Linked DNA regions of Macaca mulatta. The protein of the gene in region 3 interacts with the protein of the main gene of each other region in a pairwise test. Links are inferred from orthologs where the notes say so. Each region holds a gene or a part of one and is shown on either strand. Other genes may lie near its edges.

What was found.
Region 1: the proteins of LSM3 (region 3) and KEAP1 interact in binary tests that used the Homo sapiens proteins (3 or more experiments, as listed by UniProt). The two-hybrid records come from large-scale screens. The link is inferred for Macaca mulatta from reciprocal best matches to the Homo sapiens genes LSM3 and KEAP1.
Region 2: the proteins of LSM3 (region 3) and CLNS1A interact in binary tests that used the Homo sapiens proteins (3 or more experiments, as listed by UniProt). The link is inferred for Macaca mulatta from reciprocal best matches to the Homo sapiens genes LSM3 and CLNS1A.
Region 4: the proteins of LSM3 (region 3) and LSM10 interact in binary tests that used the Homo sapiens proteins (3 or more experiments, as listed by UniProt). The link is inferred for Macaca mulatta from reciprocal best matches to the Homo sapiens genes LSM3 and LSM10.

The regions. Positions count from the first base shown.
Region 1 is NC_133424.1:11,222,229-11,230,014, forward strand, and holds the start of KEAP1 (kelch-like ECH-associated protein 1), read right to left. Parts: upstream 4,966-7,786; 5' UTR 4,527-4,965; intron 4,183-4,526; exon of another isoform or gene 3,048-4,182; intron 2,170-3,047; exon of another isoform or gene 1,525-2,169; 5' UTR 1,478-1,524; coding exon 839-1,477; exon of another isoform or gene 671-838; intron 1-670. UniProt on the Homo sapiens protein: Substrate-specific adapter of a BCR (BTB-CUL3-RBX1) E3 ubiquitin ligase complex that regulates the response to oxidative stress by targeting NFE2L2/NRF2 for ubiquitination.
Region 2 is NC_133419.1:78,058,764-78,066,649, reverse strand, and holds the start of CLNS1A (methylosome subunit pICln), read left to right. Parts: upstream 1-2,770; 5' UTR 2,771-2,863; coding exon 2,864-2,988; intron 2,989-7,886. UniProt on the Homo sapiens protein: Involved in both the assembly of spliceosomal snRNPs and the methylation of Sm proteins.
Region 3 is NC_133407.1:152,978,101-152,985,864, forward strand, and holds the start of LSM3 (U6 snRNA-associated Sm-like protein LSm3), read left to right. Parts: upstream 1-3,754; 5' UTR 3,755-3,807; coding exon 3,808-3,828; intron 3,829-6,395; coding exon 6,396-6,506; intron 6,507-7,764. Other genes in the region: XPC (DNA repair protein complementing XP-C cells), read right to left, coding at 3,419-3,518. UniProt on the Homo sapiens protein: Plays a role in pre-mRNA splicing as component of the U4/U6-U5 tri-snRNP complex that is involved in spliceosome assembly, and as component of the precatalytic spliceosome (spliceosome B complex).
Region 4 is NC_133406.1:204,391,726-204,399,414, forward strand, and holds the start of LSM10 (U7 snRNA-associated Sm-like protein LSm10), read left to right. Parts: upstream 1-3,688; 5' UTR 3,689-3,776; intron 3,777-7,016; 5' UTR 7,017-7,040; coding exon 7,041-7,412; 3' UTR 7,413-7,689. UniProt on the Homo sapiens protein: Appears to function in the U7 snRNP complex that is involved in histone 3'-end processing. Increases U7 snRNA levels but not histone 3'-end pre-mRNA processing activity, when overexpressed. Required for cell cycle progression from G1 to S phases.

The DNA.
Region 1 (7,786 bases), on a different chromosome or scaffold from region 3:
CTCTGTCGCGCAGGCTGGAGTGCAGTGGCTTGATCTCGGCTCACTGCAACCTCCGCCTCTCGGGTTCAAGTGATTCTCCTGCCTCAGCCTCCTGAGCAGCTGGGACTACAGGCGCGCACCACCAGGCCTGGCGAATTTTTATATTTTTAGTAGAGATGGGTTTTCTCTATGTTGGCCAGGCTGGTCTTGAACTCCTTACCTCAGCTGATCCACCCACCTCAGCCTCCCAAAATGCTGGGATTACAGGCGTGAGCCACCACGGCTGGCCTCAGTTTTTTTTTTTGTTTTTTTTTAGACTGAGTTTCGCTCTCGTTGCCCAGGCTGGAGTGCAACGGTGCGATCTTGGCTCACAGCAACCTCCGCCTCCTGGGTTCAAGTGATTCTCCTGCCTCAGCCTCCTGACTAGCTGACATTACAGGCATGCACCACCATACCCGGCTAATTTTTTTGTATTTGTAGTAGAGACGGGGTTTCTCCATGTTGGTCAGTCTGGTCTCAAACTCCCATTCTCAGGTGATCCGCCCGCCTCGGCCTCCCAAAGTGCTGGGATTACAGGCTTGAGCCACCGCGCCCGGCCCCCAGTTGTTTTTTATTTATTTGTTTGTTTGTTTAGAGACAGGGTCTCATTATGTTGCCCGGGTTGGTCTTGAACTTTTGGCTTCAAGCAATCCCCCCACCTAGGCCCCCCAAACTGTGGGGACTACACCACCGTGCCCAGCCCAGAACCTCCTTTTCCTCCAGGTTCCTGCCTTCACATCTCAAGGGGAAACAGTGATGAGCACTCATCCATCCCTGGTCCTTCTCCTGACACTGCCCCCAGCCCCACCTCCCCGCTCACCTCCCCGAAATGCATGTAGATATACTCCCGGGCACGCTGGTGCAACTCCACACAGCCAATCTGCTCGGCGAAGTTGGCGATGCCGATGGCATTGCTGGGGTCCAGCTGCTGCACTAGGAAGTCACTGCAGGCACGGACAACGCTGTCGATCTGGTACATGACAGCGCCGTTCATGACGTGAAGGACACACTTCTCGCCCATGGAGATGGAGGCCGTGTAGGCGAATTCGATGAGGCGTTCCATGACCTTGGGGTGGATACCCTCAATGGACACCACCTCCATGCCCTGCTCCCGCAGCCCATTGGTGAACATGGCCTTGAAGACGGGGCTGGATGAGGCTAGCACCACCTTGTGGGCCATGAACTGGGCGGCAGGCGCGTCCTGGTACTTGACCTGCAGTGTGACGTCACACAGCTGCTGGCTGAGCCGCAACTCGTTCATGATGCCGAACGCCTGTTTGGTATGATCCTCCAGGGTATAGCTGAAGGTGCGGTTGCCATGCTGGGAGGGCGTCACCTCCGCCTTGCACTCAGTGGAGGCATACATCACCGCGTCCCCTGACCCCTCAGGGCACTGTGACCGCAGGGGCAGGAATCGGCTGCAGGCCCCAGCCCTGCTAGGCTTGGGATCTGGCTGCATGGGGTTCCAGAAGATAAGCAACACCACCACCTCTGGCACTCAGGGGCCTGGAGGGGAGAGAGCACAGGGCAGGGGGCACGGGTTGGGGTTGGGCCAGCACCTGCAGGGTCTCCTTTTGTAAGATAAAGCAATTCCTAGGTCAGTTTTCCTGCAGAGTAGGTGAAGCAGAGTGCATTTGCAAATTTGCAAACATCTCCCTGACCTGACCAGCCCAAGAGCCCATCTTAAAACATAGATGAGGTCATGTCTCTCCCCTGCTCTGGATCCTCCAACGCCTCCCACAGTACCTAGTAAAACTGAACTCCTCAACAGCCTGCAAAGCCCTACGCAATTAGCCCCTGCCACCTCTTCCCTTTGATCACTCTGTTTCAGTAATCTGGTGGCCTTTCCCTTTCTAGAGCATGTCGGGCTCATTCCTTCATTCGCCTCACCATTTGTTGGGCACCTACTGTATGCCAGGCACTGATCTGGGTGCTGAAGACACAGCAGTGAGCAAAACACACAAAAATCCTACCTGCTGGAGCTGACACCTGCGGGGAGGAACAATCATAAACTAAAATAAGCAAGACCTGGAAAATCAGCTTCATGAAGAAAATTACAACAGCATTGTGACAATGTGAGAATCAGGTGCAGTTTTTTTTTTTTTTTTTTTTTGAGATGGAGTCTCACTCTGTCACCCAGGCTGGAATGCAGTGGCTCGATCTTGGCTCACTGCAACCTCTGCCTCCCGGGTTCAAGCGATCCTCCTGCCTCAGCCTCCCGAGTAGCTAGGACTACAGGCGCCCACCACCACGCCCAGCTAGTTTTTGTATTTTTAGTAGAGACTGGGTTTCACCATGTTGGCCAGGCTGGTCTCAAACTCCTGACCTCAAGTGATCCGCCTGCCTTGGCCTCCCAAAGTGCTGGCATTACAGGCGTAAGCCACCGTGCCTGGCCCTGGGTGCAGTTTTTAAAAATCTGACAGGCCAAGCTTCTTTGAGAAGGTGAGGTTAGAGCTGAGACAAGGATGAAAATTATCATAAAGTGGGAGGCTGTGGAGTAGTTTTCCAGGCAGAGGAAATAGCAAGTGCAGTGGCTCAGAGGCTGAGACAGTCAATCTGGAGAATTGAGAAGGAGTGCAGTGAGAGCTAAGGACTTAAGGAAGGGTTTCATGGAAACCCCTGGAGCCTGGAGGGCCAGGAGATGAGTTATGTGTTTTGTGTTTTGTTTTTCGAGACAGAGTCTCGCTCTGTTGCCCAGGCTGGAGTACAGTGGTGCGATCTTGGCTCACTGCAACCTCTGCCTTCCAGGTTCAAAATATTCTCAGTCCCGCGCGGTGGCTCACGCCTGTAATCCCAGCACTTTGGGAGGCCGAGGTGGGCGGATCACGAGGTCAGGAGATGGAGACCATTCTGGCTAACACGGTGAAACCTCGTCTCTACTAAAAAATACAAAAAATTAGCCGGGCATGGCGGCGGGCGCCTGTAGTCCCAGCTACATGGGAGGCTGAGGCAGGAGAATGGTGTGAACCCGGGAGGCGGAGCTTGCAGTGAGCAGAGATCGCGCCACTGCACTCCAGCTTGGGCAACAGAACAAGACTTGGTCTCAAAAAAAAAAAAAAAGGATATTCTCATACCTTGGCCTCCTGAGCAGCTGGGATTACAGGCACCAGCCACCACCATGGGCTAATTTTTTGTATTTTTAGTAGAGATGGGGTTTCACCATATTGGCCAGGGTGGTCTCGACCTCCTGGTCTCAAGTGATCCCCCTCCTCGACCTCCCAAAATGCTGGGATTACAGGCATAGGCTGCTGTGCGCAGACATGAGTTATGTTTTGAAAGGAGTGGGGGATCTCCAAGTGGTTCCCCACAAGTGGATCTGCAAGTTCTCACTCCCCTCTTTCTGGGGCTCCACTCAGAGTCCCCTCTTCCCTGTTCTATTGTCATCACTGAGCTTGTCAGGAACTGAAATGACCTCCTTTGCTTGTCTGTTGATCGACTGTCTCTCGTCCCCGGCCCCAGCGCCTCAAATGGCAGGGAACCCTATGTAGGTTGGCGTCGGGCCAACCCTCTCCTGTGCCTCCCGCCTGGGGCCTGGCACTGCGCAGGGGTCAGTACACGGGTGGTTGGCTAAATGCCCGTGCCACCGTGCCTGCCAGAGCGGCCTTCTCCACCCTCCCTGGGTGCCACTCGGCCCCCCCTCCGGTGCCAAGGCCCTGGGCTTGCGTCTTGGTCTTTGGCCAATCGGTCAACGATGCCCCTTGGGCACCGGGCACTTCCCCCACCCTACAAAGCGACAAGTGGGCGACTGCGCATGCCCCTCCTGAGCCGCCACCAGGCCCAGAGAGGCGAGGAAGTGACCCCGCCGCGGCGTCTCGGCTGCCAATCCCAGAACGCAGATTGAGCCCCCCAACGCCTCGGAGGCCCCAGGCCTCCGTCTGCTCCACGCCTCCGGGTTCTCTCGCTCGGTTTCCGCCGCTCCCGGGCCACCCCGAGAGTTGCGCCGTCCAACAAAAAGATTGGACCCAGGCCTCGCCCTCCTGGCCCTCCGAGTCCTGGCGGGGAACTCGGAGGCTCCCTGAGCCGTGGCGCCCGGTTTCCTGGTCTCCGGGCACGACCGCAGGGGCGCTCGCGGCCCGCGATGCCCGCAGCCCGGGTACATCCCGCCTCACTCACCCCGCCATGGCCGCGCTCCGGCTCCGCCTCCACTGCCGAGCCTCGGCGCCTCCATCGCTGCGCGTGGGGGAGGCGCGGAGCGCGCGCAGGTCACCATGACTAAGCAGAGCCGGGCGCCCGCCTTGTCACAATAAAAGTCCCCGGGCCCTGGCCTCGGGCGGTAGGGACCGCGGAGGGCCGCTCCCCAGCCCCCGCCCACGCCTGCGGTCGCCGAGCTGCGCGGCCACCACTGCTGCCAGCATGGCCGCGGGGCGGGGGCACGCGGCCCTGGGCGCGCTCAGCCGCGTGGTCCGAGTCGCGGGGAGTCTGAACCCCGAGTTCCAGACCCGCGCGTCCCGGCCCGCACCGGGGATGGGGTGGACACCCCTCCCCGTCGCTGCTGCCGGAGCGCTCACCTCGGCCACCGGGTCGCCTCCGTAGGGGGTCCCTCGGGGTGGGGATGTCCGGGGCGCGCAGGGGCTCCGGGTACGGTGATGCCACCCGCACACTGCGCTTCCGGGAAGCCCGGGGGTCCGCGGCCGGGTCCGGAAGATTCCTGCCTTACCTTGGCTGTAGGAGACCCGCGGGCGCCTCCGCCGTCGGGGGGCCTCGGCGCCAGGGCTGCGTGGCCTGCGGGGTCTCGGTTGTCGGTTGGGGAGAGGCCTCGGGACGCCCGAAAAGGAGGCGGGGAGAGGGCGGAGAGGGCGCGGCGGGGAAGGAGCGGCGATTCTCCCGCCCTTCCCGCAGGTGCCCGGCGCCCGTCGGCGAGGAGTGGGGCATCGGGCGGGGACGCACAGCCTGGTCCCCCTTCTCACTGTCTCTTCCATCTCCTGGTTTCCTCGCCGGGCGTCTCCTGGCGGGGCTGCGCGCCACCACCTGCTATTCTTTTAACGACGCACAGCGCCTGCCTCGTGGTCTGGCGGCCACAGGATCTAGGGAAAATTGTCTACCTCGCTGGGTCTGCCTGTCTGCCTGCCTGCCTGCCTTCCTTCCTTCCTTCCTTCCTTCCTTCTTTCTTTCCTTCTTTCCTTCCTTCCTTCCTTCCTTGTTTTCCTTTCTCTCTCTCTCTCTCTCTCTCTCTCTCTCTTTTCCGTTAGAGACAAGGTCTCGCTCGGATCTGCACGCCCAGGCTGGAGTGCAGTAACGCCATCGCGGCTCACTGCAGCCTCGAGCTCCTGCCCTCAAGCGATCCTCCCACCTCAGCCTCCTGAGTAGCTGGGACCACAGACACGCGCCACCACAACCGGCCAATTTTTAGGGTTTTTTTTTTTTTGTTTTTTGTTTTCTGTAGAGACGGGGTCTCGCGATGTTGCCCAGGCTGGTCTTGAACACCTGGGTTTAAGAGATCCTCCATCGACCTCCCAAAGTTCTGGGATTATAGGTGTGAGGCGTTGGGTCCAGGCCCCGGGTTTTCCGTGTGTGTGTGTGTGTGTGTTTTTAATTGAGACGGAGTCTTGCACTGTCACCTGGGCTGGAGTGTAGTAGCTTGATCTTGGCTCACTGCAACCTCTGCCTCCCAGGTTCAAACAATTCTTCTGCCTCAGCCTCCCGAGTAGCTGGGATTACAGGTGCCCGCCACCATGCCCAGCTAATTTTTTGTATTTTTAGTACCGATGGGGTTTCACCATGTTGGCCAGGCTGGTTTCGAACTCCTGATCTCGTGATCCGCCCACCTCTACCTCCCAAAGTGTTGGGATTACAGGCGTGAGCCACCACGCTCGGCCTTCCTTGTCTTTATTTTTGATTTACTTCCTATCAAAAGGCGTGTGGCACCCGTCTTTAGGGGGGGTTCAAACCCCGAATCTGCCTCTTGCCAGTTCAGCGCCAGTAGGCGCTTACTTAGTTCTCTGTGGTTCAGTTTCCTCTCTGTAAAAGGTAGTAATATAATAGCACCTATCTACCAGATTATCATTAAGACTAAATGCGGGGCCGGGCGCGGTGGCTCATGCCTGTAATCCCAGCATTTTGGGAGACCGAGGTGGGCGGGTCATGAGGTCAGGAAATCGAGACCATCCTGGCTAAGACTATGAAACCCTGTCTCTACTAAAAATAAAAAAAAAACTAGCCGGGCGTGTTGGCGGGCGCCTGTAGTCTCAACTACACGGGAGTCTGAGGCAGGAGAATGGCGTGAACCCGGGAGGCAGAGCGTGCAGTGAGCCGAGATCGCGCCACTGCATTCCAGCCTAGGCGACAGAGCGAGACTCAGACTCAAAATGAATAAATAAATAAATAAAATAAAATAAACCTAAGTGTGAATACTAGCGCCCAAGAGATAGAAACCATTCCATTGCCATTTTTCATGACTGGGGATACTGATTTGTCATGTACACCGTTCATCATGTAACATTAACTTTTAAATAAATGTATGTAAGTTTATTTTAAAGAATTCATCTAGGCTGGGTGCGGTGGCTCACACCTGTAATCCCAGCGCTTTGGGGGCCGAGGCAGGTGGATCACGAGGCCAGGAGTTCAAGACCAGCCTGGCCAACATGGTGAAACCCCATGTCTACTAAAAATACGAAAAATAGCAGGGCGTGGTGGCGGGCGCCTGTAATCCCAGCTACTCAGGAGGCTAAAGCAGATAACTGCTTGAACCCGGGAGGCAGAGGTTACAGTGAGCAGAGATCGCGCCACCACACCCCAGCCTGGGCAACAGAGTGAGACTCCCTCTCAAAAAAAAAAAAAATTCGTCTAAATGTCATCTAAATTATCATTACTTTAAAAAGATAGAGAGGCCAGGCGCGGTGGCTCATGCTTGTAATCCCAGCACTTTGGTAGGCCAAGACGGGTGGATCACCTGAGGTCAGGAGTTCGAGACCAGCCTGACCAACATGGTGAGACCCCCCCCGTCTCTACTAAATACAAAAAATCAACCGGGTGTGGTGGTGGGTAGGCAGAGGTTGCAGTGAGCCGAAATCCTGCCATTGCACTCCAGGCTGAACAACAGAGAGAGACTCCCTCTCAAAAGGGGAAAAAAAAAAAAAGATGGGGTTTCGCCATGTAAGTGAATAATAAATGGAAACTCTAGGTCTCTGGAGCCTCCAGGGTGAATTTGAAAAACTGAACGTCCTGGCTCAGGTTCTGGAAGGAATCACGTGTAGGGCTATGTTAGAGTTACCCGGCTACCCGAAATCCTTGCTGCGTGTAGCTGCGTGTAGCTGCGTGTAGCTGCGTGTAGCTGCGTGTAGCTGCGTGTAGCTGCGTGTAGCTGCAGTCTGCAGTTCCAGACAGCTCCTCAGGGGGGCGCCCCAGATAGTCCGTGAAGACGTTGAGTGGCCAAGGTTGTAACCAGCACCCTCCTGGCACGTTTCAGAAAACAACCTTTCTAATATCTCTCAAAATCAAACCTACAGGTCCGGTGAGCCAGGTGCTTGTAGAGATTTATCCAAGGTGCACTCGCACACATACAGGAGGAAGCATGTGCACACACATTTATTGCATTATAATGCATATCATGGCAAAAGGACTGGATCCCATTCACATGTCCCTCTGTAGAGTCCTGGCTTAATCAGTGGTGGCACTTCCTTGCTAAGAAATACTATGCAGCCAGTTAAAAGGAGCAACACATTTACTGCATGGATATGTACCTAGATCTTCTATTTTTTCTTTTCTCTTTTTCTTTCTTTTTTTTTTTTTTCTTTTTCTTTTTTTTTGGAGACGGAGTATCATACTGTCA
Region 2 (7,886 bases), on a different chromosome or scaffold from region 3:
GGGCGGGGTGCCGTGGCTCACGCCTGTAATCCCAGCACTTTGGGAGGCTGAGGCAGGCAGATCACGAGGTCAGGAGATCGAGACCACAGTGAAACCCCGTCTCTACTAAAAATACAAAAAATTAGCCAGGGGCTGTGGTGGGCGCCTGTAGTCCCAGCTACTGGGGAGGCTGAGGCAGGAGAATGGGGAGAACCCGGGAGGTGGAGCTTGCAGTGAGCCGAGATGGCGCCACTGCACTCCAGCCGGGATGACAGAGCGAGACACCGTATCAAAAATAATAATAATAATAATAATAATAATAGTAACTTCACAAACTTGCAAAGAGTAAATGAAGAGATGATACAGGTAAAGTGCCTGGAAGAGAGCCTGGCACAGAACACTCGTTAACTTTAGCTACCATTATGACGATTTTGGAAGTCTTTCTTCCTCTTACTGCTATACTCTTTAGTGCCTAACGAAGAAACAAAACATCAATTGCAATTTTGGTGGATTAATTCCTTTCCAGTCAGTGCCCCAGCTCCTTACCGATGTACCCAGCTCTTCACCCTGCCCTTATTAACCGTTTATGCTTATCTGCTCACTTGACACGTGGGGACGTGGCTTGTGCACCAGGCCAGTATAAAGACCTAGATCGACGTATGCTACACGTTTGTGTAGACCCGAGATGTGAACAGTCCCGGGAGATGGGGACAGCGTGGCCAGATCAGAACATCATAACCGAGTTGGGAGACTTCTGAGCTCCAGATGAGTGGTCTCTATGTCCTGTGCATCCTTCGGCAAGGGACTCCATGTATTCGTCTTTCTCTCTTTTTCTTTCCTTTTTAAATTTATTTTTAAATATTTGAGACAATGTTTCGCTCTTGTTGCCCAGGCTGGAGTGCAGTGGCGTGATCTCGGCTCACTGCAACCTCCGCCTCCTGGGTTCAAGCAATTTTCCTGCCTCAGCCTCCCGAGTAGCTGGGATTACAGGCATGCGCCACCACGCCAGGCTAATTTTGCATTTTTAGTAGCGATGGGGTTTCTCCATGTTGGTCAGGCTGGTCTCGAATTCCCGAGGTCAGGTGATTTGCCCGCCACGGCCTCCAAAGTGCTGGGATTACAGGCGTGAACCACTTCGCCCGGTGTATTACTCTTTCTCTATTGCAATTCCCCTGTCTTGATAAATCGGCTCTGTCTAAGCAGCAGGCACGGTGAACCCATTGGGCAGTTACAACAGGGTTGTAACAGGGTTGCTGCTGTAATGGCCCAGTGGGTTCACCTTGCCTGTTGCCTAGACAGAGCTGATTTATCAAGATGGAAATTGTCATAGAAAAACAGTAATTCACGCAGGGCCGCTGTGCAGGAGACTAGAGTTTTTGTTGTTGTTGTTGTTTTGAGACGGAGTCTCGCTATGTCGCCCAGGCTGGAGTGCAGTGGCACGATCTTGGCTCACTGCAAGCTCCGCCTCTCGGGTTCACCCCATTCTCCCGCTTCAACCTTCCGCGTAGCTGGGACTACAGGCGCCTGCCACCACGCCCGGCTAATTTTGTTTTTGTATTTTTAGTAGAGACGGGGTTTCACTGTATTAGCCAGGCTGGTCTCGATCTCCTGACCTGGTGATCTGCCAGCCTCGGCCTCCCACAGTGCTGGGATTACAAGCATGAGCCACTGCTCCCAGCCTAGAGTTTTATTTTTACTCAAATCAGTTTTCCAGAGCATTCAGGGATCAAAGTTTTCTTTTTTTCTTTTCTTTTCTTTTTTTTTTTTTTTGAGACAGTCTCGCTCTGTTGCCCAGGCTGGAGTGCAGTAGCGCGATCTCGGCTCACTGCAAGCTCCGCCTCCCGGGTTCACACCATTCTCCTGCCTCAGCCTCCCGAGAGTAGCTGGAACTACAGGCGCCTGCCACCACACCCGGCTAATTTTTTGTATTTTTAGTAGAGACGGGGTTTCACCTTGTTAGCCAGAATGGTCTGGATCTCCTGACCTCGTGATCCGCCCGTCTCAGCCTCCCAAAGTGTTGGGATTACAGGCGTGAGCCACCGTGCCCGGCCAGGGATCAAAGTTTTTAAGGATAATTTGGAAGGTTGGGGAAGGCCAGTGAGTGAAGAGTGTTGATTGGTTGGGTGGGGGATGAAATCACAGGGAGTTGAAGCTATCCTCTTGCCCTGAGTCAGTTCCTGGGTTGCGGGGGAGGGGGCACAAGATCACATAGCCAGTTTATGCATCTGGTGGTGCCAGCTGATCCATCAAGTGTAGGGTCTGCAACATATCTTAAGCACCGATCTTAAGTGCAGTTTAGGGAGGGTCAGAATCTTGTGGCCTCCAGCTGTAATTTCTAAATTACAAAATTTCTAATCTTTGGCTGATTTGTTAGTCCTACAAAGGCAGTCCAGCCCCCAGGCAAGAAGGAAGTTTGTTTTGGAAAAAGGCTGTCATCATCTTTGTTTTAAAACTTCAAACTGTAAACTAAGTTCCTCCCAAAGTTAGTTCAGCCTATACGAGGAATGAACAAGGACAGCTTGGAGGTTAGAAACAACATGGATTTGGGTAGGTCAGATTGCTTTCAGTGTCTCAGTTACAATTTTGCAATGGTGATTTCACTGTGACAATCTTGAGGGACTTCCCACAGAACCCTCAGTTCTTGAAGCCCAAAGCCTCAGAAATGGCGAGGAAGAACGAGAGGGGTGTTAAACTCCACACGGTCTTAGCCGACCTCCGACGCTTTTCCTAGAATGTCTCATCTCTATGGTCGACGGCGTTCAGATTCCGGGGCAGACTAAGTTGTTCTTCCGGGGTGAGTGCCTCTTCCAGGGCGAGCGGTGTGGTGCACGCATTGCTGTGTTCTAACTCCCTCAGGGGCTGTGTTGTCGCACTTTCTGCTGCTATGAGCTTCCTCAAAAGTTTCCCGCCGCCTGGGCCGGCGGAGGGGCTCCTGCGGCAACAACCAGACACCGAGGCTGTGCTGAACGGGAAGGGCCTCGGCACTGGTACCCTTTACATCGCTGAGAGGTAGGGTTCCCGGTCCCCAGCGCCGGCCTCCTGCGTGCCACCCTCTTCCTTGCTGGAGCAGGCGGTGCGAAGGAGCCGGGCAAGGGGCGGCCTGGAGGGCTGCTGGGAGCGGGGGCGCGTGTCCGGGACGCCTCAGGGATACCTGTACCGGCTGGAAGGCTCGATTTTTCTAGCACTCTTCCCGAGTCTTCCATTCTCTATTTTCTCGGGCCGGAATTTCCCCTCATGGATTGTGCTTTTGTTTTTTTGTTTTGTTTTTTTAAACTCGCCTTTTACTGGAGGTCTGGCGCGTGCGTTGCCCTTAACGCACGGTCTCGTTTTAAGAGTCTGAAGTGTGCCTGTCTTTCCGGATGAACAGATGCAGGAGATGTTCCCCTCTGCAGGATACGTAGTTTCAGAGCCGAGTGTGGAGGACTTTGAAAGTTTGGTTACACAATATAGATTTTTTCTGTAGGAATAGTAAGGAGAGGAACATCCTTAACTCGACACAGACAGGGGTCATATGCAGAGGTACCAGACTCCCGTTTTGGGGTCCTGGAAGGAGTTGCCCTTTTATTTGGCCACCTGGAGCACTTTGGTATTTTCACAGTCAGATAGATCTACCTTAAATATTGTGGTTGTAGAACCGAGGTCCCTGTTTCCTTGACATTTAGTTCTCTTTATTTTGAAGCCTGTAATGACACATTTAATCTTTCCTGCCCTTCAGATATGTGTTGCTTCCCCTTTTGCTCCATCACTTGTCGACAGCCAGAGAAAATTCTCTAAGAACTCATGTGATTACTTTGGAACCACCTGTAAAATCCGGGATAATCTCCCTATGTTGCTGTCCACTGGTAACCTTAATTAGGTTTGCGAAGTCCCTTTTGCTGTGTAATATAACATATTCACACGCATGACACCAGAAACTGAAGGTCGTGGGGGCCAAAATTTTGCCTACCACAGAATCCAGAGCACAAAAACTGTAAAGAACTGTTGCTTTAAAGGGAAATTTAGACATTGAACAAGGCTTAGGCTTCAGGCCAGTCACTGAGATAGGACATATGGGTGGTAGGAAAAGCAAGATTGAGGTGAGAGGCAGATAATGAGTTTGGTCAGGACATGTGTGGAGTAGTTGTACATACGAGTGTGTGTTGGGCCGGGCGCGGTGGCTCACACCTGTAATCCCAGCACTTTGGGAAGCTGAGGCAGGCGGATCGCCCCAGAAGTTCGAGATTAGCCTGGGTAACATGGCGAAACCCAGTCTCTACAAAAAATACAAAAGTTAGCCAGGCATGGTGGCGGCCTGTAGTCCTAGCTACTCAGGAAACTGAGATGGGAGGATCACCTGAGTCCAGAAGGTTGAGGCACGGTGAGCCGTGATTGTGCCCCTGCACTCCAGCCTAAGTGACAGAGTGAGACCTTGTCTCAAAAAAAAAAAAAAAAAAAAAAAAAAGAGTGTGTGTCTTGGGAAAGTGGTATTAAAGATAGATGTTTGGAAGTCGTTGAAGTATTAGTGTATACTCATGGAAATGGATTAACTATCTCAGAAGAGAAGAGGACCAAGTGTAGAACCCTAGGGACACACCTTTGGGTGGGTCATAGAAGAAGAGACTTGAGAAAGGAGGAAGGAGCAGTCAAAACAAAATATGAAGAGCGTATATTGAGTATTGACAAGGAAATCTTTGATATTTGGGGAAAGCAGTTTCTTTGAAGTGATGGAAGATGGAGCACAGATACATTCCTAGTTCCCAGGCATTCCTTTTTTATTCATGACATTTCTGTATGTTGACACTTCGTTCAATATTATAACTCCTTTTGAGGGACAGTCCTGTATTGGTTTTTGCATTTTGAAAAATTTCAAACCTACGGTCCGGTGCGGTGGCTCACGCCTGTAATTCCAGCACTTTGGGAGGCGGAGGCGGGCAGATCACCTGAGGACAGGAGTTCAAGACCAGCCTGGCCAACATGGTGAAACCTCATCTCTACTAAAATACAAAAATTAGCCGGGTGTGGTGGCAGGCATCTGTAATCTCAGCTACTTGGGAGGCTGAGACAGAAGAATTGCTTGAACCCGAGAGGCGGAGGTTGTAGTGAGCCGAGATCATGCCATTGCACTCCAGCCTGGGTGACAGAGACTGTCTCAAAAAAAAAAAAAGAAAAATTTCAAACCTAAAGAAAAGTTGTAAGTGTTATTACTACCCATACACCCTTCACAAAGATTTATTAGTTAACATTTTGCCATGTTTGTCTGTTTTTCTTTTTTTTCTGAGCCATTTGAGAATTGCAGACATGTTTTCTACTTCCTGTTCAGAAGAACAGGGACATTATCTTGTATAACCACAATACAATTCTCACACCAAGGAAGTATAACTCTTTTTAAGTTCTTACCAGTTTTTTAAAAATTCTTAGCCTGGACAAGGTGGCTCACACCTGTAAATTCCTGCTCTTTGGAAGGCCAAGGTGAGCAGATCGCTTGAGCCCAGGAGTTGTTGACCAGCCTGGGCAACATGACAAAACCCTGTCTCTACAAAGAATACAAAATTGCAAAAATTAGCCGGTCATGGTTGCATGTACCTGTAGTCGCAGCTACTATGGGGGGCTGAGGTGGGAGGATTACTTAAGCCTGGGAAGTTGAGGCTACAGTGAGCTGTGATCATGCCACTACATTCCAGCCTGGGTGACACAGTGAAACCTTGTCTCTTAAAAAAATTAAAAATTATTTGTTTCAGCTTTTCACAAACAAATCTCTTATGTTTCTTCTTTAAGATTATTTTTTATTTATTTATTTTTTTTTGAGACAGAGCCTCGCTCTGTTGCCCAGGCTGGAGTGCAGTGGTGCGATTTCGGCTCACTGCAACCTCCACCTCCTGGGTTCAAGTGATTCTCCTGCCTCAGCCTCCCAAGTAGCTGGGATTACAGACGTGCTCCACCACGCCCAGCCAATTTTTGTATTTTTAGTAGAGACGGGGTTTCACCATGTTGGTCAAGCTGGTCTCGAACTCCTGACCTCATGATCCATCCGCCTCGGCCTCCCAAAGTGCTGGAATTACAGGCATGAGCCGCTGCGGCAGGCCAAGATCATTTTTTGTGTGTGAAACATAAATACAAAAAAAAGAGTATAAATACACACACATACTGTATACATGTATATACAGTCCAGCAGTTCTTCCTCTGAGGCATTGAGGGAGAATGCCCAGAGATAACAAAGCTGGAGAAGAAGACAGTCATGTTCATGAGTTTGGCTTATAGCCTTTAGGCTTTGGTGAAACTATTTAGTTTGAGGCAGAGAGGGACAGCAACAGATTAGGTTTTGGCTAGACTTGGTTTTAGTCTCTCAGATTTGTGTTGAAAGAGTTAGAATCTCCGACTTATTTCAGAGCTTAGTTTTTTATAGGAAGTTGCATTTTCTTTTTTTTTTTTTGAAACAGAATTTCACTCTTGTTGCCCAGGCTGGAGTGCAATGGTAAAATCTCGGCTCAGTGCAACCTCTGCCTCCCTAGTTCAAGAGATTCTCCTGCCTCAGCCTCCTGAGTAGCTGGGATTATAGGCATGTGCCACCACGCCCAGCTAATTTTGTATTTTTAGTAGAGATGGGGTTTCTGCATGTTGGTCAGACTGGTCTCAAACTCCCGACCTCAGGTGATCCGTCCACCTCGGTCTCCCAAGATTACAGGCATTAGCCACTGCATCTGGCCAGGAAGTTGAATTTTTATCCAAATAAGGAAGATACAGAGGCATGAATAATATAAAATCATTTAAAACAGGTAAAATAGGTTATCACATTAAAATTAGGTAATTTAAACATAAATTTTTTTTGTATCTCATTCCAAAATTAATTTTAAACCAAATAATTAAGTTAACCTAAATTCAAGACCTCTCGTAGCTTCCTGTCCTGTTTTTCATCCCATGCTGGGAATAAAGGACACTGACCATACTTGTGCAAAAGCATTTGAATTCAGCAAAACATTTTCTCTACGTGTTTACTTGGTTTCTAATTCTTCTTGTCTTTCCCTTTTGACTCACAGTTTCTTTGAAACTGGGTATGGTTAATTAGATATTTTAGAAGGATTTCTTCTAGAATATATACAAAGAGTAAATGAAAATCAGAATTTAATGATCAGACAAAACAGTTATATTTTTAGATGATACAGTGAAATCTTTTATGTTTCTCTACAGCACTTTAAAAGTTATAACTTGAATACTTTGAGTAGATTTATTACAATCTCATCCCAGCAAACTTTAATGGCAGCCTATTTCATCGTGGCCTCTGCTAAAATTAGAAAATCTGGTGGTGGTACAACGAATAATTTACGTGCAATAGGATTTAATTTGTTGTTAATAGCTATTTGTTAAAATTAAAATTGCCAGATAAATGAATGTACTGTCAAATCTCTTTTTTTTTTTTTTTTTTTTTTTGAGATGGAGTCTCCCCACTGTCGCCCAGGCTGGAGTGTGGTAGTGTAATCTTGGTTCACTGCAACCTCTGCCTCCTGAATTCAACCAATTCTCCTGCCTGAGCCTCCCGAGTAGCTGGAATTACAGGTGCCTGCCACCACACCCAGCTAATTTTCGTATTTTTAATAGAGACAGGGTTTCGCCATGTTGGTAGGCTGGTCTGGAACTCCTGACCTCAGGTGATCCATCCACCTCAGCCTCCCAAAATGCTGGGATTACAGGCGTGAGTCACCACGCTCGGCCTATAATGTCAAATCTTTTTTAACATAGTAACATGCTGTTGGAAAAAATAAGTTGTTGAAAGTAAGTTGTTTTTCCATTTAAAAATATCTGTGAATATTAATATATGATATGCCTTTGTAAATCTGAAAAGGTAAAATACAGAAGCCTAGGGGTTTCTTTTCTTTTTTTATTAAAAAAAAAAATTTAACCATTAGAGTAAGTGTTTTTAAGTGTGGAACTTG
Region 3 (7,764 bases):
CACAGCACTCAGAATAAAATTCCAACTCCTTAGCTTGGTATCCAAGCTCAGGCCCCTGCCCACTTCTCCTACCCAGCCCCTCACTCACTGTGTCCAGCCAACTGGCCAAGTTCATTCCCTCCTAAGAGTGTTTAAACACTGTCCTCTCTGCCTAGAACTCTTTTCCCCAGAACTTCCTATGAATGGCTCAAAATTACACTAACTGCCTCAAAATGCCATCTCCTTACAAAGGCCTTCCCTGACACTGATTCCCATTTAGCTGCCCCTTCCCAGCCCCATTTAAATTTGAGGGTTTTTTTTTCCCCCATCTATAGAAGCATTTTCTGCTATGTACCCAAGTAAGTTTTATCACAGCAGTCTTAACACAGGGTGATAGCTCTTACCATTATGTGAATCTGTTTTTTTTTTAACTTGTTATCTGTTCTACTTACCCCTCCCCACAGATTATAATCATGAGAGCAGGTGCCTCACCTGTCTTGTTCACCACTATTATCCTAGTACCTGGAACAGTGCCTGAAAATAGTAGGCGCTCAATAAACAGCTGTTGAAGGAGTTAACGGATTATCACCGAAGGTGTTAACATAGAGAAGAAATGCAAAGAAACCAGAGGTGCTTTAGTAACACAAAGGAAATCATGTGGAAGCCTGTTTTCTTTTTTCCTATTTGTCGAAAGCAGCCAAGTATCACCTTCATTTGCATGTACAGGGGTGCTGTTAAAACCTACACTATTACAGTGTTAGAAACTACACTGACAGTCACCAAATTATTGTCACCTGCAGCCCAAACCACACTTGCTAAGTCTATGCTTCCCCAACAAACCACCAAACCACAACAAAAGTTGTAACTCTGCAGATTGGAAGCTGCCTTGGGAACTGACTGCTACCTCCTCTGGCTAGCAGAGTAAACTTGGGTGCATCCTTACCTCCATTTAGGCTGAATGACACCAGCTAGCCCAACTAATTACCTAACATGGGTAAAGCTAAAGCTCTTGGCTTTATATGCTATCCCACTGAAAACTTACAGCCACCCTGCAAGGCAGTTATTATAGTTCATAGAAGAAGTTTAGAAGGGCTAAAATACTTGTCCAAAATAATTCACCCAAGTGCATATAACTAAGAATTGAAGCTCTACCAAGCTGGAACCCAGGTGAAGTGTTGAGCTGGGAGGAATGCAGGTAGCATTTCCATCAGATTACAACAATTTTTAATTGCCATATATGCAAATTACATTCTGACTAGAATACCAGCCCCTTTTTTGTGACCCCTTGCTAAAATAGCAACCATCCTTTAAATCACAGATCAAACAACTTCAGAAAGCGTTCCCCGATCATGCTAGTCAAACTTGATTAATCCTTTGGAAGCTACAAAGCCTTGTACCTTCTTCCACAGTATTTAGCACACTCTGCCTTGCATGTCTTACATGCAAATGTCATGTCAACACTACTCTATGATCCTCCAAGATACGCTTATCTCCCATGTCACCTCATTCATGTGCAGCACATAGTACTCAAAATATGTTTTTTGAATGAACGAGTAAATGAATAAAATGGAACCCGAAATACTACATATGAGGTAAATCACCTTCTAAGTTTAGGAATTATTACCATTTGACTATTTTCTAATGGATGATGAACTTATAATCGGTATAGAAACACAGAATCGAGTGTGATAGCCTTTGCTGGTTACCTAATCTACCCAGTTATTTCAGGAGACCCAGAAATTCCTTCTACAGCCTGCATTTTGCAATTATTTAAAATATTTATTGGCCAGGCACAGTGGCTCATGCCTATAATCCCAGCACTTTGGCAGGCCGAGGCGAATGGATCACCTGAGGTCAGGAGTTAGAGACCAGACTGGCCAACATGGCGAAACCCCATCTCTCCTAAAATACAAAAATTAGCCGGGCATGGTGGCAGTCACCTGTAATACCAGCTACTCAGGAGGCTGAGGCAGGAGAATCGCTTGAACCTGGGAGGCAGAGGTCATGCCATTGCACTCCAGCCTCAGCGACAGAGTGAGACTCCATCTCGAAAAAAATAAAAAATAAAAAATATTTATTTAGCACTTAGCCCTACCAATCGACGGGCCCCGCATCCACAGATTCAACCAACCACAGATGAATATATTTCGGGAAAAATAAAACCCACAAATTTTAAAACTATAGTATGACAACTATTTCCATAGCATCTACATTGTATTAGATATTACAAGTGATCTAGAGATGATTTAAAGTATGTCGGAGTATGCGCATAGGTTACATGGAAACACTAGGCCATTTGATACAAGGTACTTGAGCATCACAGGTTTTAGTATCCACGGGGTATCTGGGAAGGACTACCTTAGTTTGCTCAAGGAATGTCTGACTTGAGATTTGAAGAAATCATACCTGGCAAAAGCCATGGTGGGGGGTCACTCTAGGCCGAAGGAATATCAAAGGAAAAGGCTCAAGAAATAACTTGGCATATTTGAGGAAGAGAAAGGAGGCCAATGAGGAGGGTATCTGGCAAGGAAACAAGTGGTAGGAGAAACAGGAGAGGTAGCAAGAGCCAAAACACGTAGCATCTTGCAGGCCAGGATAAGACAACTGGATTTTAAACTAAGAGCAATGGAAAACCAAGGAGAGTTTAAAGCAGGAGCATGGCATGATTTTTTTTTTTTTTTTTAAAGATTATTTGCGTTGCTGGATGCAGAGCTGGGAGGCCAGTCAAGAGGAAACTGCAGTCACTCAACTGAAAGGTGATGGTGACTTGGACAGGGGTTGTGGCCATGGAAATGAAGAGAAGTGGACAAATTTGAAATACAGTCTGAGGCTGAACTGACTGGACTTGCTGACGGGACTGGATGTGTGCACATAAGAAAAAGGTGGACTTTGTTTTATAACAAGTATTGGGACTGGAAAAACGGAGGAAAGCATAGATTTGAAGGGGAAGACCATGAGCTCTGCACTGTCCACGACAAATGTAAGAAGCCTATCCAATATCCACGAGGGGAAGTCAGGTGGGATCCCACTGTGGAACTCTGGGCGAGACTCAGCTGAAGTTATCATTCGGGAGTCAGCACACTGCATCACTCTACGTCCTGGTCCGTCCGTCCGTTTTCCTGGGACACAAATAACTGCCTTCTCCGCGTTCAACCCTGAACATCTGCGCTGTATCCTCTGGACAACGGGGAGCGGGAAAGAAGCTACGCAGGAGCTTGGGTCGGGCGAGGCTCACGGGAAGCCGCTCTGGGTGCAGAGGACAAAGGCGCAGGGACAGCGGGGAGGGCCGGCCGCGGCCTGCCGTGCTGCCCCCACTGCGCGGAACGCGCGCAGCAACCTCCTCCCGGCCTCCGCGTCTGGACTCCCGCCGCCCCTGCCTCTGGGCCTCCTCCGCCCACCGGCAGAGTCTCCCGCGAAGCCCGCTGGGCCACGCTCTCACCCTCCTCCTCCTCACGCCGGGTCTTGCTCTTGGCCTTGGACTTCTGGCTGCGCGTTTCGCGTCCCCGCGGCTCCCCGCCGGCCGCGCGCTTCCGAGCCATATTGCTTGTCGGGGAAAAATCCACTTCGCGAGTGACGCACCAGGCCGCGATGCGTTAGAACGCAGGCCCCGCCCCGAGGCGGGCGCGTCTGGCCACGCCCCTTCGTTGGAGGCCTAGTCACGCCCCCAAAGGAAGCTCCGCCCCATACCCGTGGCCACTAAAAAACCGCGGGAAGCAGGCAAGAGCACAGCAGGTTTCTATTTCCGGTGTATTGTAGCATCACGTTTCCGGAGCTCGGCGTTGCTCTTGTGTTCTCGCGAGAGGCGGGAAAGGGCGCAGGGTTTGAAACATGGCGGACGACGTAGACCAGGTGAGTGAATTTTAAGGCGGTGGCTCGGCGCCGCTTCTTGTACTAAACTGCTTTTTCCAAACGCAGGAAAAATGGCCAGTCGCGCCTCTTCTTTCCAAGTCACACGGCCTAATCCGCCCCATCCTTTCCGTAAACACCCCTGTCCGAATTTTGCTGCAGGCCCTGAGGTCTTTTCCGTTAGAAGGCCACCTGATGACTATTCATCACACTCTTCGCTTTGTTTTTTTAAATCTGTAAATTATTATGCGTGCCTACCTCACGGAGCTGTCAGGATTCCAATAGAAAGCCAGATAATAAAGTTAGGAGTTGTTATTACTGAGCACAACAATTATTTACTCATTCAGCAGAGAGAGTGAACATCAGCTTTGTATGGTTAGACACTGTTCTAAGAGCCAGGGACACTGACATCGATATATAAGTGATCCTTGCCATGACTTGGAGCTTATATTCGCGAGGAGAACAGATAAATATAAATATGTAAGATTTATAGGAACTGTGATGTGCTATGAAGGAAACAAGGAACTGGTATGCAGAATAACAGATGGTCCTAGAAGCTTTTTCACCTGGTCTTTTTCTTCCTCAAATATCTTTGGAGATCATGCTACAACTTAAACTTTCTACTGAAATCTCACCTCCTCAGAGAGGACTTCTGCCCAAATAGCACTCCCCCTACTCTGCTTACCCTGCCTCATTTTTCTTCATAGAACGTTATTTTTTCATATTAAATGTATGCATCTTTGTTTAATGTGTATCTCTCCTGACTAGAATGTAAGTGCCATAACAGTAGGCATTTTGTTTTGTTCATTCTTTTGTCCTTGGGGTTTAGAACAGTGCTGGAAATACTCAACAAATATTTGAGTGAATGAGTTAGATGATCAGAGGAGGCCTCTTTTAAAAGCCAATGTATAAAGCTACAGGATGAAAAAGAACAGAAAGTGGGCATCCCAGACAGAGGCTTAGGTAGCAGTAGAGCTCTGTCATGTGCATATTCTTACAGTATTATAATTATTCATATGCCTATCCACATTAGAATGAGCTCCTTGAGGGTGGAGATTGTGACTTCTGTATCATTGTAATCTAACAGTTGGTTATCTGATCCTTTAACAAACACCTGTTGAACTGAGGGACATAGGGACCAGTTGAGTTAGGTTATTTTTTTTTCTCTCATCGGGCCTTTTGAATCTTTAGCGCCTGTTACGAATTCAGTTACCTTCCTCCACTGGCCTTGTGTACTTACTAAAGAAGCTCTCCTTGAATCATCTAACTCTTTAATGGCTGCAACCCTCCCTTCCATGTGGGTGACCCCAAGTCATCCTAGCCCTGACCTCTAAAACCAGTGTTTCCAGCAGTTCTTTAATAATATAATATTAGTAGGAATCTTTTCTTTTCTTTTTTTTTTTTTGGATGGAGTCTCACTCTATCGCCCAGGCTGGAGTGCAGTGGCGTGATCTCAGTTCACTGCAACCTCTGCCTCCTGGTTCAAGCGATTCTCCTGTCTCAGCCTCCCAAGTAGCTGGGACTACAGGCACGTGCCAGCACGCCTGGCTAATTTTTGTATTTTTAGTAGAGACGGGGTTCACCATGTTGGCCAGGCTGGTCTCAAACTCCTAACCTCAGGTGATCTGCCTTTCTCAGCCTCCCAAAGTGCTGGAATTCAGGCCTGAGCCACCACGCCCAGCCAAAAGGAACCGTTTCTAAGTATTAATATTTTCTGCTTTCCTGGCACTGTTTTAAATGCATTAACTAGTTTCATCCTCATAAGAATCCAGAAGGAAGGTTGTGGCTTTCTCAATTACAAATGAAGAATCTGAGAATTACAGATGGCATGATTTTTAATCTCAGTTCATAAGTGTCAGGTCACAGCCAGGAGTTGAACCCAGACTGCCTGACTCCAAAGTCAGTGCTTGCTTGCTTGTTGGCACCATCTTGGCTCACTGCAACCTCCACCTCCCAGGCTCAGGCAATCCTCCCACCTCAGCCTCGGAGTAGCTGGGACTACAGGCACATGCCACCATGCCCGGCTAAGCCAGTGCTTTGAACCAGTGTTCTATTCTGGCTACTAAATATTCATCTTACTGGCCAGTTGGCAGCCTAACCTCAACCTGTGCTGAATTCATAATCTTCCCATAAACCTACACCTCTACTTGGCATTCTGACTAGTATATGGTAGGCATTAAGTGAGTGTTTTTCCTATGATTACATAATATTTGAGATAAAGCTAAAGTTCCTAAGACCCTATACCCTGAAATCGGGTCAGGCAGTTTGGATTTTGAGGGAACAAAGTATAGTCATGATTATTTTGCTGTGTAACTCCTTCTTATGTATGCGTGTTTTAATCTACATTTATATAGCACATACTATGTGAAAAGTTCTGTTCTAAGCCTTCATATATGTCACTTAAGCCTCATAAAAACAGTATTAGGTAGACACTATTATCTCCATTTTACAGATTAGGAGACTGAGGCAGAAAAAGGTTAAATAACTTGCACATGGTCATACAGCATAGCAGTGATTTAAGCACTACTTTATCTCTAGTACTATATTACTAAACCTGTTTCTGTTATCAGCAACAAACTACCAACACTGTAGAGGAGCCCCTGGATCTTATCAGGCTCAGCCTAGATGAGCGAATTTATGTGAAGATGAGAAATGACCGAGAGCTTCGAGGCAGATTACATGTGAGTAAATTTATCAAGTTACCTTGAAATCAGATTCCTTCCCACCCCCACTCCCTTGAAATGTAAAACCTGTCCAGAGTGAAAAGGTATTTTGAAGGAAGAGAGGGTAGTGGAAAATCACCCATGTTTCCATAAGCCAGATGAAGCTGCATGTATTCACATTTTTAATATTTTTTCTTTTAATAGAAATATGTTTATTATAGAACATTTTTATTCCCTTCATTTTCCCTTCTGTTTATTTGTAAATAACATTTATTTGTCCTCCATTCTTAAATGTTTTTTAAACTTAAAACACAAATATGTGTTTTATTATGAAAAGTTAAACAGCACAAAAATATATAGAGTAAAAAGTGAAATCCCATTTCCTCTACTGGTAACCACTATTAAAAATTGGATTATCTTGGCCGGGTGCAGTGGCTCATCCCTGTAATCTCAGCACTTTGGGAGGCTGGGGCAGGAGGATCACTTGAGGCCAGGAGTTCTCTGTGTTGCCCGCCTAGGCAACATAGAGAGATCCTGTCTCTACAAAAAATAAAAATTAAAAAATTAAAAATTGGGTTACTGTTTCTGTATGTTTACACACATACATTCATATATGTACATATGCACATACTTGCACTATGTACACCCTACCTCTACAAAACATGGATCCTGCTATACACGTTTTTCAGCACCTTTTTTTTTTTCACTTAATCTTTCTTCGAGATTATTGATCATTAGTGCATTTAATTCTCATTTGTTCTTTTTAATGACTACCTAGGATTCTGTATATGATAGTGATCGATTTTTTTTTCATTTCTTGCTACAAATACTTACATAAATACTTGCAGTAAGCATTTTTTTTTACATATTTATTTGTGCATATCTGCAAAATATCTGTAGAATTGGTCCCTTGAAGTAATCCCATTTGTTCATAGAGTACCCTCAAGGTTTTGCCTCTCCTTAATGACTTGTTGCTTTCCTAAGTGTGTTGTTTTTAGTGTTGCTACTTTACCCTAAAGTGATTAAAAATAGCTAACATTTATTGAGCATTAGTTATAGACCAGCTACTATTATTCTAAGCATTTTGTGTGTGATATCTGATTTAATCTTTATAACAACCCTGTGATGATACATACTAATTATTCCTGCTTTGCACTGTAGGAAGCTCAGGCTCAGAAAGGTACAGTCACTTGCCAGTAAAGAGAGAGCTAGAATTTGAATCTAGATTGTCTGACCTGAGCCCCACTCTTAAGTACTGTGGTTCCACCTTCCACAA
Region 4 (7,689 bases), on a different chromosome or scaffold from region 3:
ACCCCAGACTCAGCCAGCCTCAGACACTCCACAGGACCTGCCTGCAGAAAGGAGCTACCCACTTCAGGCCTCCCGAGAGCTGTTCTGTCACTCAGTAAAGCTCTTTCCTGCTTGCTTACCCTCCAGTTATCCACATAATCTCATTCTTCCTGGATGCGAAACAAGAACTTGGGACCCGCCAAACAGCGGGAGTGAAAGGAGCTGTAACATATTCCTGGCCAGCTCAGCTGAGCTGCGAGTGGTAACACACTCCCAGACTGCAGGAGTGAAGAGTGGGGACCCTTCTGGGGAACCACCCTCCACCAGCGGGTAGCTGCGCCACATGACAGGAAGCAGTGGCGGGGCCCAGCCAGCCCAGGAGCCACGGGCCAGAGCCGGGCCGCACAGGGCGGTAGGACTGAAAAAGCTGTAACATACATGGACTGAAACACGCCCCCGCCCCCAACATGCCCCGCCCCTGCTCCTCGGGAGGTGAAAAGCAGCAGCCCTTTTTGGGACCCAGACCTCGGGGCTCCCCAAGCCAGGGCGGTGACACACTGTAACACCCTCTATGGGGCTCTGTGGTTCCTGGTGTCTCTGAGCTTTCGGCCACCACTGTGTTCCCCTTGTCCAGATGCTGGTGCCCAGAGCAGAAGCCACTTGCGGTATGTCTGGTCCAGCTGCTGCCTTGCACAGAGCCAAAGCCTGTGCCGGCGCCTGGAGCTGCCCGTGCCGGGGCTTGGAGCTGCCCACCCGCTGCAGCAGCCAGCATATCTGGCTGTGTGTAGTGGTCGGACCCTGTGCTCACTCACACACCCCTCACGGCTCCACACCTGGCACGCCTTTGGCAGGCGTGGTATCCGGGCCCGTAGTGCGAGCTGAGCTCAGCCTCCAGACTGAGCGGGCAGAACGAGCCCAGCAGGCACAAGCAAAAGTCAAGCACAGGCGCTCCTAGCCACAGAGGTTTCCGCATGGCAAAGTGACACCCTAAGGTTCTTGTGACAGCTGGGACTATAGGCGCACCCACTACACCCAGCTAATTTCTTAAAACATTTTTGGCCAGGCTCGGTGGCTCATGCCTGTAACCCCAGCACTTTGGGAGGCTGAGGAGGGCAGATCACCTGAGGTCGGGAGTTCAAGACCAGCCTGATCAACATGGAGAAACCCGGTCTCTACTAAAAATACAAAAATCAGCCAGGTGTGGTGGCACATACCTGTAATCCCAGCTACTTGGGAGGCTGAGGCAGAAGAATCACTTGAACCCGGGAGATGGAGGTTGTGGTGAGCCGAGATCGGGCCATTGCACTCCAGCCTGGGCAACAAAAGTGAAACTCCGTCTCAAAAAAAAAAAAAAATTTAGAGATGGGGTCTCACTATGTTGCCAAGGCTGGTCTCAAACTCCTGAGCTTGAACAGTCCTCTTGCCTTGGTCTCCCAAAGTGTTGGGATTACAGATGTGAGCCACCCTGCCCAGTCAAGAAGCCTAACTAACTGAGCTGCTTCTCTGTGCCAGGTGCTTTCACACATTAATGAAAGTCACTCAAATCTCCCAGTTCTCTGAGAAAAACCTTATTTTTTGTTTTCATAATAAGGAAATTGAGGCTGAGGAAGAAAGTGATTTTTCCAAGGCTATACAGAATGACTTTTAAAAAATGTAAATCAGGGGCCGAGAGCGGTGGCTCAAGCCTGTAATCCCAGCACTTTGGGAGGCTGAGACGGGCGGATCACGAGGTCAGGAGATCGAGACCATCCTGGCTAACACGGTGAAACCCCGTCTCTACTAAAAAATACAAAAAAACTAGCCGGGCGAGGTGGCGGGCACCTGTAGTCCCAGCTACTTGGGAGGCTGAGGCAGGAGAATGGTGTGAACCTGGGAGGTGGAGCTTGCAGTGAGCTGAGATCCGGCCACTGCACTCCAGCCTGGGCGACAGAGCGAGACTCCGTCTCAAAAAAAAAAAAAAAAAAATGTAAATCAGGTAGGGCACAGTGGCTTGTGCCTGTAGTCCCAGCTATTCTTGAGGCTTGGGCAGGAGGATCACTTGAGCCCAGGAAGTTGAGGCTGCAGTGAGCTATGATCACATCACTGCACTCCAGCCTGGGTGACACGGTGAGACCCTGTCTCTACAAGTAAATCAAATCACGTTGCTCCCTTTCAATAGCCTATCATAGCACTTCTAGTACTAGTTGAGAAGACGGAAGCACAGAGAAGATAGCTAACTTGCCCAGTCACAGCCAGGAGCAGATTTGAGCCTAGGCACTGTATCCGGAGGCTGCACTCCTAACCATGAAATCTAAACTCCTTACCTTGGCTCACAAAGTCCTATATGCTCTGGCTCCTGCTTCCTCTCTGGTCTCTTGTTATACCACTCTCCCCAGCTTCCCTGGCCTTTCCTGTGTTCCTAAATTGTCAAGGTCATTTCCCCCAGGTTCTTTGCATGAATTGTGAAAAGAAAAAAATTGACTTTTAATTGGTGATTTGGCTTTTATTTGCTAAATTTGTTAAATTTGGGTTTTATTTGCAACTCTAGAATTGGGCAACATCTCATTCTATAAAACGGAATGAGTGTTCAAATAAGCTGAGCAGAGGAGATTAGTTTTACAGACAGAAAAGGGCTGAGGAAAGCAGAAACAGAAAACAAAAAGCAGATTGGTTGTTTCAAAGTTACTTTCCTTGTAACTTTGAAGGCTAAAGCAGAGGGGACTTCCTTATCCTGCCAGCTAAAACTGGATGGTTTGGAGATTTAAGTATCTCTCACTCTTCTGATTTATCTGAATATCAGATAAGCAACTTAGTTTCCACTTGGTGATGTGGAACTTTAGCATGAGTGACTCCATTTTGGTTTTGTCTGTTGGGCTTGGTGCAGGAGCCCTGTCCAAACCAATGGCTGCCTTTTTTTTTTTTTTTTTCTTTGAGACGGAGTCTTGCTCTGTTGCCCAGGCTAGAATGAAGTGGTACAATCTGAGCTCACTGCAGCCTCCACTTCCTGGGTTCAGGCAATTCTCCTGCCTCAGCCTCCCGAGTAGGTGGGACCAGAGGTGTACACTACCACAGTGGGCTAATTTTTTCTATTTTTTGTAGAGACAGGGTCTCCCTATGTTGCCCAGACCAGTCTCGAACTCCTGGGCTCCAATGATCCTCCCGCTTTCTCCTTCCAAAGCGCTGGGATTACAGGTGTGGGCCTCCGCGCCCAGCCCTGCCTCCTATAAATTTTATTTAACAAACTGTTCCCTCTAATTGCAATGCTCCGCCCATAGTTTTCACAAGCTTGGCGTCATGTCACTAATCCCAACTCAAATGTCACCTTCTCAGGACACCCCTGACAATCCAATAAAAGACCACCTAGTCACTACCACGTCACACTTTCAATCTTCTAAAGAACTTTTTCCCTATTTTTCTTGTTTGTTTTCCTAAGACTCTCTCCCCTGCAGCGCCATCAGCTCGGGGAGCCACTTGATCTTGGTCACTGCTCTATGCCGGAGCCTAGGAAGCAGCCTGGCCCAGGGTGCCCGTTCAAGAACGCGTGCGGAGTGAATGAACGACTAGTGAAGGAGACTTCAATGACGCAGGCCGGCATTTGCTGAGCGCGAGCCCCGCGCCGCGAAGCATTCTGGGAATCGTAGTTTCTCCGTGCCGCGATGACTCGCAGAGCACAGACGCACTCTGCGCCGGGAGGACAGAGCGGCCCGGTCGCCGGCGTGGTTTCTCCGTCCTGCTGCAGCCGGCGGGAGGCAGCCCGTCCAGGCGCCCGCTAGCTTCGGCGGCGACCCAGACGGGGAAAGCGGAAGGAATGTCGCGTGGTGGGTCCGGGTCGGCGGTGCAGGGAGCCGCGGGGCGGAATGTGGGGTATGCCAGGACCTCCGGAAGGAGGTGCCGGAGCCCAGGAAGCGTTTTCTTCCCCATTTACCGAGTATAGCTCATTTCCCCAGACCCGCTCCCGCTGCTCTGAGTAAGGGGTGCTCATCCCGTTTTACCGGTAGCTTAGCTAGCTTGGAGAAGCTAAGTGGTTTGCTAAGTGGTCTCCCTCCTAGAAGGTGGCAGAGCCTGTCCTAGAACCCGGGCCTGACTCGAGGTCTAGTGATTGCTCTTTGCAGTCGCAGCAGCAACCCCATACCTTTGCTTGATCGCAGATTCGTCAGGCTGCAGCCTGGTGGCTGGTCGTTAGGCCCTGCCCAAGGACTTAGCTCCCAGCCCCGCTCATCACTGGCCTAGTCTAGCTTGCCACGCTCAGTGCCACACTGCACAGCCCTGGACGGGATGCTGAGTGAGGTCGTAAAGAGAGAGCGTTGCACCCCCGTTAACTCAGGGTCTGAAAATAAGGGATAGGTAAGACCTAGTGCACTAATACAATATCGGGGTACGTTGAAATCAAAGGAGAGTACCTTCAGTGGAGTGTGATTCTGGTAGCTTTGTTTCGCCTGTAGTTTAATAAATGTGGAAACAGGTTCAGAGACATTAACTTTTCTAGGTTTACATAATTAGGGGTGGAGTGGGGATTCCAGCCTGGGTTTCTCTACCTTCAAAACCTATGTACCTTATATACTACCGGTTGGGTTTCCCCCCCCCCCCAATTCATTATCTAGATTTATTTTCTTTCTTTTTTTTTCTGAGAGTCTCGCTCTGTCACCCAGGCTGGAGTGCAGTGGCACAATCTTGGCTCACTGTAACCTCTGCCTCCTGGGTTCAAGCGATTCTCCTGCTTCAGCCTCCCAAGTAACAGATTACAGGTGCTCCCATGCCCAGGTAATTTTTGTATTTTTAGTGGATACTGGGTTTCATCATGTTGGCCAGGTGGGTCTTGAACTCCTGACCTCAGGTGATCTACTCCCCTTGGCCTCCCAAAATCCTGGGATTACAGGCGTCAGCCCCTGCGCCCAGCCTCATTACCTAAATTTCTACTTACCTAACAGCTGCATGGTATAGACCAATAGTTCCCAGAGTGTGGGCCCCTGACCAGCAGCATCAGCATCACCTGGGAATATGTTCGAAATGACTCTCTCTGGCCTCACCTCAGACCTCCTGAGTCAAACTGGGAGTGGGGCCCAGCAAGCTGAGATAACAGGCCCCTCAGATGATTCTGATACACACTGTATGTATCAGATGATTCTGATAATGTATGAGAACTACTGGTGTCAAGCACCGAGTCTCAAACCTTCACGTGTATCTAATTCACATACGGGGTCATGTTGAAATGCAGAGTCTGTTTCCAGTCAGTGTGGAAGAATGGCAGTGAGCCACTCAGTGAAGGAGTGGATTATCTCAGAACAGGCCTGGGGAGAGACCTGAGATTATGCATTTCTAACCAGTACCCCTCAGCACTTTGGAGTTACCTGGGGAGCTTTTTTTCTTCTTCTTTCTTTTTTTTCTTTTTTTTTTTTTTTTTTTGAGATGGAGTCACTCCGTCGCCCAGGCTGGAGTGCAGTGACGTGATCTCGGCTCACTGCAAGCTCTGCCTCCCATGTCCACGCCATTCTCCTGCCTTAGTCTCCCCAGTAGCTGGGACTACAGGTGCCGCCACCATGCCCGGCTAATTTTTTTGTATTTTTAGTAGAGATAGGGTTTCACCGTGTTAGCCAGGATGGTCTCGATCTGACCTCATGATCCGCCCACCTCGGCCTCCCAAAGTGCTGGGATTACAGGCGTGAGCCACTGCGCCCGGCTGGAAACTTTTACAAAATAGGAAATCTGGGCCCACCCCTCTAACCAAATGAATCAGAATCTGGGGTGGGGAAGGTCGAGTTAAAAACTCGCCAGATGATTCTAATGTACACCTGGTGTGAGGTTTGGAGCCAGGCGGCTATGGATTTTTTTTTTTTTTTTTTTTTTTGAGACAGAGTCTCTCTCATGCAGGCTGGAGTGCGGTGGCATGATCTTGGCTCACTGCAGCCTCCACCTCCCGGATTCAAGCGATTCTCCTGCCTCAGCCTCCGGAGCAGCTGGGATTATAGGTGCACACTACCATGCCCGGCTAATTTTTGTATTTTTAGTAGAGACAGGGTTTTACCATGTTGGCCAGGCTGGTCTTGAATTCCTGGCCTCCGGCGATCCACCCGACTCAGCCTCACAAAATGCTGGGATTACAGGTGGGAGCCACCATGCCTGGCCTACGGCTACGGATTTGAATTCCAGCAATTCCACTTATTTACTGTGACCTTGGTCAAGTTACCTCTCCTAGCCGTATTTTTTGTTTTTAAAAGTTATTGATTTATTTAAATTAATGTATTAGGAATGATACTGACTTTTGTTGTTGGTCCTAATAATTTATCTTGAATTCTCAATGTAGATAATCATATAATTGACAAACAAGGACAGTGATCTTCCTTTATAATTATTGTTTCTCTAAATTCTTTCCCTTCCCTTCTTTCTGTAATCGTTTTTTTGAACGTTGCATTGACCATTACCTACGTTTTACTGTTGATTAGAAGCCATAAAAGGCATCCTTTTCTTGTCCCTGGCTCAATAGAAATGATCATCATTTTCTTTATTTTTTGAGACAGAGTCTTGCTCTTGTTGTCCAGGCTGGAGTGCAATGGCGCGATCTTGGCTCATTGCAATCTGCCTCCCGGCTTCAAGCAATTCTCCTGCCTCAGCCTCCTGAGTAACTGAGATTACAGGCGTGTGCCACCACGCCCAGCTAATTTTTTGTATTTTTAGTAGAAATGGTGTTTCACCGTATTAGCCAGGCTGGTCTCAAACTGAGTGGATCTCGCTATGTTGCCCAAGCAGGTCAGCAGAACTCTTGGGCTCAAGTGAAGCTCCTCCCTCAGTCTCCTGAGTAGCTGGTACTACAGGTGTATCCCAGTGTGCCTGGCCATCCTAGCCATATTTTTCTCATTCATAAAATAAGCATAAGTAATCCTTGGCTTGCAAGTTGGTGTGAGGATTCCATGAGACATGTGCGGGAAGTATCTGTGTCCACAGATACAAAAATTGCAGAGGTGGTCTGTGCTGGGAATTTTGTTTGAGAACCTGGTGGAGGTGAGTTGGCAACTGTACCCCCTACCCTGCTATAGCTGCCATCTGTGTGCTCCTGTCCACAGCAAGCAGGCAGCTGGTGTGGAAGAATGGCACTGAGCCATTCAGTGAAGGAGCGGACCATCTCTGAGAACAGCCTGATCATCCTACTGCAGGGCCTCCAGGGCCGGGTAACCACTGTGGACCTGCGGGATGAGAGCGTGGCCCATGGACGCATAGACAATGTCGATGCTTTCATGAACATCCGCCTGGCCAAAGTCACCTACACGGACCGTTGGGGGCATCAGGTCAAGCTGGATGACCTCTTTGTGACAGGCCGCAATGTCCGCTACGTCCACATCCCAGATGACGTGAACATCACCTCGACCATTGAGCAACAGCTGCAGATTATTCATCGGGTGCGGAACTTTGGTGGCAAGGGCCAAGGCCGGTGGGAATTTCCCTCCAAAAACTATAAGTGAGGCCCTCAGCAAGCCCTGGCCCCAACTCGGCTTCCTCCAGTGTTCTCTGGAGCCAGCTCCCTGCCCTCACACCCTGTCTAGAACCCGAGAAGAGAGCAGGGCCAGGCCAGAAGCTGGTGTCCAACAGACACCACCTGTCAAAGCTGCGTTTCACAGGGTTCCACCTCCCAGACTCCCTCTGGGACCCAGAATCCTATCTGTCTGTGGCCTTGGGGTAGGTGACAATCCCCCTTTTTGATGATCTGAATCTCTGACTTATTGATCATGGAACCTGTCA